2 linked regions of the Sus scrofa genome follow. The protein of the gene in region 1 purifies or fractionates together with the protein of each later gene. This does not show direct contact. Links are inferred from orthologs where the notes say so. Each region holds a gene or a part of one and is shown in the gene's direction. Other genes may lie near its edges.

Region 1 (4,516 bases):
ATAAATGGAATCACACAATGTTTAATGTTTGTCTTCGTTCATGTAGCATATTTTCAAGGTTCATCCATGTTGTAGAAGGTACTTCATTTCTTCCCATTTCTTCCCATTCATTGTATGAATATGTCAGATTTTATCTATCCATCAGTTGATGGGCATTTGGAATATTTTCCCTTTTGGCTATTATGAATAATGCTACTATGAATCTCACGTGTACAAGTTTATACGTGGACATGTTTTTAGTTCTCTTGGGTGTATAACAAGGAGCAGACTTGCTGAGTAAGATCCCAACAGTATGCTTAACGTTTTGAGGGACTTCCAAACTGTTTTCCAAAGCACTGAACCATTTTATGTTCCCACCAGCAATGTATGGGAATTTCATTATTACATTTTCAACCAATGAGGATGTTACATTTCCTGAAGAAAAGGATAGGAGTGCCCCCACCAGATAACGATTAATTCTCTGCGAAGCATACTGCATAACAAAACAACTGTATTTCCGCACGACTACAAGGAACAAGACATTATAGGTTCAAATATACTGAGTGAGTTAACCCTTCACGGTCAACGGTTCTTTCATCGTAAAACAGAGAAGATGTGATGACATTTACGCGGCAGTCACCCTTAAGATGAAATAAAACAATCCACGGAAAGCTGCTTTCCAACATTGATTATGCGTGATTCAATGTCGGGCAAAGCGTTAAAAGGGCAAAGAGCTAAACGCCCAGATCCCTCCCCTTCCTTCACGTTCCTTCCCAGGGGGAGGGGTTGCTAAGGGACGGAGGGTGCTGCAGCCACCTCCCTTCTTGGGGAGGGCCGACCTGATGAGCCACGCAGGATAAATTGTCAGGACTCGAAAAGCAGACCCGGATCCCTCCAGCCCAACACCGTTCCCAGGCGAGATTCGCAGCCCGCTACTCAGCTCAGCAGGTCAGCGCAGGATCTTTTTCCCCTTTTTCATGCTAAGACATTTACTATGGTTGAAGTAAAAAAGAGGCAAAGAGAAAACAAGCATAGCCCCCACCTACGATCCTAGTTTCTGTCTCTCCACCCCCCCATAAGGAAAACACATGAAACCCAATTCATTACGAACTCTTGGAGGTGTATCAAACCCAATAACCCTCACCTCCAAAGACTCCCCTATTGCCGTCCCCTACCCCACCCCGGGACAGACAGCGCAAAGCTTACCTGGTGGCTTCCTCCAGCTCGACCTGGCTCCGACCAGACGCCTCCAGAGGGATAGTAGCCATCTCCTCCTCCCCCTTCTCCCGGCCAGGTGGTCTCAGCCTGGCCGCCCCCGCGTACCCGCCAAGAAACAGGAGGCTGGGGAGGTTCGGGGCGGGGAGGATATATGGGCGGAGGGGGGTGCACGGGCACATCTCCACCCCCAGGCCCGTAGTAGCGGCCATAAGACGGACCGTCACCGGGGCCGTAGCCCGAGCGCCTCAAGGCCGACATGGGCTCCACTGCCCCCAAGTGCTTCCCGCCCCCCACGGCCGGTCCATTGCGCAGACGCCAGCCGGAGAACGCAAGTGGACCGCAGGGAAGGGGGTCGGCCAGCAACAGCCAATCCCAGGCCGGGTCCCGCCCCCTCGGCCTCAGATTCTTGAGAGTTGAAGGACTGAGGTCGGTGACTCTGGGGTCTAGGAAGCAGGACAGCAAGGGGCGCCACCGTGTACCTTAAAAGGGAGAACGCATTTCCCCACTACGTATCCAATCTAGGTTTCTCTTCCCCTCTTGTCAAGGACGTGGAAAGGGTGCCTCGGGACCTCACTACGGTCCCGCCTCTTCCTGAGCACCGGCACGTGATGCCGGAAGTGGGTGGGAGTAATATGGCGACGTTTCCGGCAGGCCCCGGCGGCTGAAAGCCGGGCCGGAGGTGCTACTCTGGGTCCGGGTTCTTGTCCCGGTGCCGCCGAGGCGGCGACTGCGGTAGGAAGAAGGAAGTGTTGGACGAGTTGGCCCACCACCGCTATACGTTGCGCCTCATTTCAACTCAAAATGAACTATATGCCCGGCACCGCTAGCCTCATCGAGGACATCGACAGTGAGTAGTTCGGCTCCTCCGAGTGAAGTCTGGGGTGAGACTCTTCCTGCCGGGAGGATGCTTTTTGGAGGCAGGTCCTAGAATGAGTCCGGGCCAGGGGGCGGTGTCTTTTTAGTGCTGTTCTGGACGTGCGGCGTTAGCGTCCTTTGCAGGAGGGAGGAGCCTTGTGACACGCTGTTTGCCCGCCTCCTACCTGTATCCTATCTCTTACAGCCTGCACCAGTCCTCCGGCAAGCTGTCGAATCCATTTCTGCTTTTCAGGGATGCGGCTGCTGAGGCCCAAACATGAAAGTTGCCGCCTCCCGGGCCCATCATCTCCCACCTGCGGGATTTCGAGTCCCAGGTGGTTACTGGTGGATGGATGAGAATTCTTAAGGAAGGGATGCATCGAGAAACGAAAATACGAATACAACAGTAATTGGACTTAATTAGCACTAAGCATAGGCTTTATGCTGCGTCGCCTTTTGCAGTCTTCTTTTACCGTTGAGGGTCTTTAGATTTTCAGATTATGATAGTAGAGACTACTGCCAGACAAGGCTTGACTTTTCCAGAAGGACCAAAAACTTGTTTTTTTCTTGTTAGACAGTTTTCTTTGGTTTTTATTTAGACGACCTACCTTATTCCTAGTCACCATCCTGAAGAGAAGTTTAGTCCTCTATAGCTGTCCTGTCTTTTCCAGACTCTCATTCGTGGATTATTCCTCAAGCAAATTTTAATAAATTGTTTCAGTCCTGTGATCTGTCTTGTTTTGCTTTTTAGGGCGGCACCATGGCATGTGGAAGTTCCCAGGCTAGGGGTCGAATCAGAGCTGTAGCTGCTGGCCTATGCGACAGCAACTCTGGGTCCCAGCCACGTCTGTGACCTACACCACAGCTCATCGCACCACCAGATCGTTAACCCACTGATCAAGGATCGAACCTGAGTTTTCATGGATACTAGTTGGTTTCATTACTGCTGAGCCACAATGGGAACTCCGTCTCATTAACTTGTAGTAGTTGCAAAACAGTTTGCATACAGCTCCAAACAAGTTACAACAATCTCTACAGTTACTAAGTATGCAAATTAAAGAATGAGTTTATGATTATATTCTCTATCATCTGAAATTATTTTTAAAATCCAAATTAGTGATTTTGCTATTAAAGGAAAATGTAGTGTAGGTTGGACCAAATTCATATGTGAATAGCCACTGTACAAGCCTATCTGCAATGTATGATAAAGTCTTCAATTTTTGTTGTTTGAAGATGCCCTTTTGCCCTCACCTCTTTTGTTATATATCTGAATTAGTTGAGGCCTTAACACATTCTGCCATTCTACTAAAAACATAATTTTCTCAAGCCTCTAACCCCTTTTTTTTGCAGATTCCAAACCCCTCCTTTACCAAAAGGTTTAAAACCATTTCATATGCCCCCTTCACACACATACATTTTCCTCTTCTCCTCAGTCCTCCTGTATTTTCTCTCATATTTTCTTTCTCCCTCCCCCAGAGTCCTCCCCTTCATGTATGTTCTTGTCTGTCACATTTTTTCTCAACTGTGTTTCCCCATCAAATTCCCATCCCCCTTTTCATATCTTTACCCCCAAACCTTTTGAGCCATCTCCCATTTTAAGTCTGTTTCCTGACTCCCTGCAATAGACCATCTCTGTTACCCCTGCAATCTGATTTTTTTAGACAACACTCTACTGAAACTGCAGTCTTAAAAGGCATCTGTGAAATGCAGTCCTCCAGGTTCTTCCCTCCCCTCTGTTACCACTGGAATCATTACTTTTCTTGATTTCTCCAACGCTGGTACTTAATTTTCTCTCCTCTGCAACTCTTATTATTCCCTAAAATAGATGGGTTCTTAGCTTCCATCAACAGTCTGTTTGTTTATATCTCTAGGAGCTCTCGTGGACTTCAGTAATTATATCACCTCTTTGTGGGCTTATCCAAAATTGCTCTGATTCTGACCTTTTGGCCTCCCAGTCTTACATCTTTAATTGCCAGTTGACCTTTCTACATAGGCGACCTGATACCAGCAGAATCACAACAGCTAATTACCTTCCACCCTAAGCTTGTGTCTTTTAGTCCCAACTTTTGGTAAATGGTCCTTCTTGACATGACGACTCAGAATTCCTGCATCTTCTTTAACTCATCTCTTCAGCACCCCATTCTCTCGCACATACCCACACATACAAACACAGATAATTGACAGATCCCATCCCTTGTCACTGCAGGGTCTTAGTCCTCTCATCTTCCCCCTTCCCATCTCTACCCTGAGTCAGGTCTCTTCTGCATGTCTCAGACTCTGGGAATAGCCTCAAAACTGTTCTCTCTTTCCTGCCAGTTTAATCTTCAGTGTTTTCTTATTCCCTGTGAAGTCACATCCAAACTTCAGCCTGTTCCCAGTACTTTTTTTCTGACTTCATCTCCTGTTATTTCCCTTCACACCTTTTAGCCAAACATTTGGACACATAGCTCTTTTTTCTTCTGCC
Region 2 (4,434 bases), on another chromosome or scaffold:
CTCACCGGATTGGCATAAGGCAGACTTCAACCATCAGTAGAAGTACTACTGGAATCATCATGCCATTGAACCACTACTTTGTGAGGCAGGTATCATTAATCCCGTTTTCCAAAGAAATTAAGGCTCAGACACGTTTAGGTAACTTGCCCCAAATCTGACGGCCCAGTGGCAAAGCACTGATTCCCACCCAGAACTTCTATTTCCAAATCCAAGTTTCCACTACTCAGGCTCTGATTAATCCGGTCATACCACCACGTAAGGAATTTACTCTATGCCACTCCCAGGCGAGGCTGCACTTTAAGACACCGGAGAAAGGAGTTGCGAAACTGCACAAGAATTCGTGGTGCAAGGACTAAATTTCGTAGCCAAGTTTAGTCTTCAAGGGGAAAGAGTGAGTTCGGCTAGCGGAGATAACAGTTCTCCAAAGAGACTTCTGAAAACAGGCTGCCAAGGCACCTGGACAAATGCTTTTCTGGTCCTGATCCTCTAAGGAGGTGGTGTCACCCTACGGCGCACTCAGCCTCGATGACCTTGCTGCCCACGGCTGTGCTGCCTTTTTTGGCTCCCTCACTCCACACGCTTGATGTGCCTGAGCCCTAAAAATACCTCCCTGGTTGAACCTCCCTAATAAGCCTTCGGTTTAAAGAAAAGAGGAAAAAAAAGCCTTCATCTCTGAGACACATAAATCACAGCCCTGACCTGCTGTTGACTCAGCGGGTGACGTGCCGCTGAAAGTGGCGACGAACTCAGCCCCTTTCGATGACCTGAACTTTAACTTTTTTCCCCTCCACTCGGTGCCTATCGTATGTCGTGAAGACCGCCAAGCAACCCGAAGACGGTGTTGGACGCTGGAAAAAGTGCCCAGGAATGTCCATTTCTCCCAGCCTAAGCTAAGCCTGGGACTCTCCAAAGCCATATCCTGTGACAATCACAAGGCTTTTCTCCGCCCCGTCGGTGACGGAAAACTCGTGACTCGAACCTCAGCGTCGGGCGGGCGCAGAGAAGCCGGGGGCGGAGCTACAGGTTCGGATCGCGAGGAAGCCCCCGACGGGTGGCGCGTGCGCAGTCTCTCGCCACGGGACCTCCTTCCCGCCGCCGAGACTAGGAAGCGGGACGCCAAATCTGTCCCCGCGCAGCCGCCGCCGCCGGGCGCGGAGCGGGGCGGCCGCCCTCCCCGAGGCGCGCCTGCGCACGTTCCCACGCACGCTCCGGCGTACGGCGGCGGCCAGGGGTCGCGAGCCGGTGGAGGACCCGCGCGCGGAGGAGCCCGGAGAGTCAGCGCTTCTTCCCTCCCTCCCCCATTCCCCTCCCCGCTCCCTCCCCCCCCTCCCCAAGAATGTTCCGCTACGAGGTGAGCTGTTGCGACCGGAAGTGACCCCTCCCTCCCGCCGGCACGCGCCCCCCTCTCTGTTTCTCTCACGCTCAGCGCGTCGGTCCGCGCCCCTCGGGGGGAAAAGGGGGGGCGGAGGGGCCGGCAGGACCGAGCAGAGTGTGTGGGCTCTGGGGTCGCGGGTTTAGTCCAAGGGCTGTGAGCTGGCTTCGTGGGGGCGGGACTGTCCTATCAGTTGCTACTGAGGAGAGTTGACCTCTGTTTGGGGGTGGGGAGGGCCCGTTAAGTGCGGTAACCAACCACCCCCCACCCCACCGTACCCCCGGTGGGGCTCGGCATTGAGAGCCTTGCACCCACCCGGTGGCACTTAAGGCTTAAGGAAGAGCCACAGGGTAAAGCCCAGGGACGCATTTCCCGCCTAAGACCCAGAACTATCATCTCGCATTAATTACACATAGCCCCTTACTCGCAGGCAACCGTCAGGTCACCCGGGCCTGCACTTGCCCTTTGACTGGGGCGGAAGACTGTTTACTGATGAGAGCTCCGAGTGGGGAAGGGGCGTGTCCAGCAGAAGTTTTTTCTGGGCGAATGGAGGGAAACTGGGGGTTCGTGATGGTCCCTGGAATACAGCAACAGAGTTATGACGCTACCACTGAGTCTCTGTATGACCTTTAGCGACTGCTAATCACTAGACAGAGTTTCTGGATTTGTAGAAAGGGTGGGTCTAGACGATCCCTTTCCAACCTAAAAAGCAGTGATTCGGTGAAGTAGATCTTTGTGATTTGGGAATGCTTCTGGAAGTTGCCTCTGATGTGGATGCAGTTGCACATGCTTGCTTTGTCTAAGTTTGGAAGGACCTAAGATGGCCCTTTGGCCTAACGTTTCTTTTGGGAACAGCCTAGCTGAGAAATAGCCGGCAAGGTGTTATCACAAATGTGCCTGCCAGAGAGTGTGGAATTCTGATTCTGAGTATTTGAAAATTGGGGCTGTGTATTCTTGCTATTTGATGGGAATGGCTCGAGATCAAACTGACTATATGTAAACATGGAGAGACATGCTGAGATGTGGTGGGGCAAAGTTCCCCAAAGAAAAGAAAACTTGGAAAAATAAATGAAATGGGGGGGGGAGTGTTTAAAGTAGAACATACCCAAGTGATATCTAGCATTGTTTAACAATACACAATGTTTGCTTCAATCTTTTTCTCCTTTGATCCTCACTACTTGCTGAGGCAGGTGGTGGTGTCCTTGTATTACCACCTAAGAGATTGTGGCTTAGAGCCTTAATACAGGCTGAGACACAGTAGGTGCTCAGGAGGTATTGAATGAATTCATCAGAACGGCTGTGATTTGCCCAAGTTGATATCACTTGTCAGAGTTGAGACAGAACTTAAACTTGCCACATCCCGGCCTTTCAAGAGTTTACTTAATTGTGATTGAAATCTTAGCTTTCTGTTTTATCACCAGTTTTGGGCCTGTAGAAAGAAGGAAGAGGAAAAATGATGAGAAAGCTTCAAAAGGGAATAATAAAAGGGTTGAAAAGATGACATGAATATGGGGAAGATAAGAATTTCATTGAAAAATAGATGTAAAACTCTAGCAAAATGTAAAGTGTTTGCTTTCATTTGTCATTATTGTAACCAGTGATGGAAAGGAAGTTACAGGCCTAATTTCTTGGTTGCATGAGGAAATGCTATTATTAGATTCTTGCTGAAAAGAGAAATGGAAATTTGGGGGAAGAGGTTAAATGAAATAAGGAATAGGAAAGAGAAGCTGAAAGAAACGATTTGCAAATCTTCCAATGTCGGGAAAATTGGGGGATGGAAAAAAATGCCATCTGTACAAAAAGTCATAATGAAGCTATTGTGTTGATTGGGAAGGTAAGAACATTTTTAGAACATTTTTTAAGTGAGGTTGTGAACTTCACGAATTATCAGTCTCTCTCTCTCTCTTAAAGTCTTTGGAGGATTGTCCTCTGGATGAAGATGAAGATGCGTTTCAGGGGCTGGGAGAGGAAGATGAAGAGATTGATCAATTCAATGATGATACATTTGGGTCAGGTGCAGTTGGTAAGCGATATTAAGTACTTTTGTCTTCCTCTGGTCTCTTTTTGCCTCACTTAGAAAATCTGGTGTTTTCTAAGCCTTGTCTTTTCCAGCTTTATGATCTATCGTTCTAAGTTGACACTATAAGAAATTCAAATGGTTAGACAAGTGGACATTTTATAAAGGCTTAAAATAATCCTAGAAGAAGGACTTTTTTTTTTTTTTTGGTCTTTTTAGGACCGCACCTGTGGCACATGGAGGTTCCCAGGCTAGAGGTCGAATTGGAGCTATAGCTGCCAGCCTACGCTACAACCATGGCAACACAGGAACCAAGCCACGTCTGTGACCCACACCACAGCTCATGGCAACACTGGATAGAGAAGGAAGTTTTTTGTTTTTTTTGTTTTTTTTCATGAAACACGTAACTTAAGGAAAACTAGTGCATTAGGAGAAAACTAAGATTCATATATGTATGTTTGAAAATTTTTATATGGCCTGACCCTGCTTTTGTCCTATAGTAAGTATATTTAATTACATATTTTATTCCAGGAATTTGGTAGTAAGAGGTCTTTGTAAGTTAGAAAGGTGTTGTGCAAAAATGAAATTTTCTGGAGTTCCCATCGTGGCGCAGTGGTTAACGAATCCGACTAGGAACCATGAGGTTGCAGGTTCGGTCCCTGCCCTTGCTCAGTGGGTTAACGATCCGGCGTTGCCGTGAGCTGTGGTGTAGGTTGCAGACGCGGCTCGGATCCCAAGTTGCTGTGGCTCTGGCGTAGGCCAGTGGCTACAGCTCCGATTCAACCCCTAGCATGGGAATCTCCATATGCCTCGGGAGCAGCCCAAGAAATAGCAACAACAAAAGACAAAAAAAAAAAAAAAAAATGAAATTTTCTCAGCCCTGGGTATAGATAAATATTCTAGGAGTTGGAAAAGATCAAAAAACTAAAAAACCAAAGTCAGCTAGAGGCCACAGGCTTATAATTACTGAAATGGGAGATTCAGGGAGCAAGCTTGTATGATAAAGTTTGAGAATTAGAGACCCTAGAGCAAGTATGCTAATAAG

What was found.
Region 2: the proteins of LSM1 (region 1) and PATL1 purify together in Homo sapiens (co-immunoprecipitation; 3 studies listed by BioGRID and IntAct, with this or other methods). This does not show direct contact. The link is inferred for Sus scrofa from reciprocal best matches to the Homo sapiens genes LSM1 and PATL1.

The regions. Positions count from the first base shown.
Region 1 is NC_010457.5:48,347,051-48,351,566, forward strand, and holds the start of LSM1 (U6 snRNA-associated Sm-like protein LSm1), read left to right. Parts: upstream 1-1,602; 5' UTR 1,603-1,998; coding exon 1,999-2,044; intron 2,045-4,516. Other genes in the region: BAG4 (BAG family molecular chaperone regulator 4), read right to left, coding at 1,186-1,455. UniProt on the Homo sapiens protein: Plays a role in the degradation of histone mRNAs, the only eukaryotic mRNAs that are not polyadenylated. Probably also part of an LSm subunits-containing complex involved in the general process of mRNA degradation.
Region 2 is NC_010444.4:11,826,665-11,831,098, forward strand, and holds the start of PATL1 (protein PAT1 homolog 1), read left to right. Parts: upstream 1-1,430; 5' UTR 1,431-3,146; coding exon 3,147-3,206; intron 3,207-3,283; coding exon 3,284-3,395; intron 3,396-4,434. UniProt on the Homo sapiens protein: RNA-binding protein involved in deadenylation-dependent decapping of mRNAs, leading to the degradation of mRNAs. Acts as a scaffold protein that connects deadenylation and decapping machinery.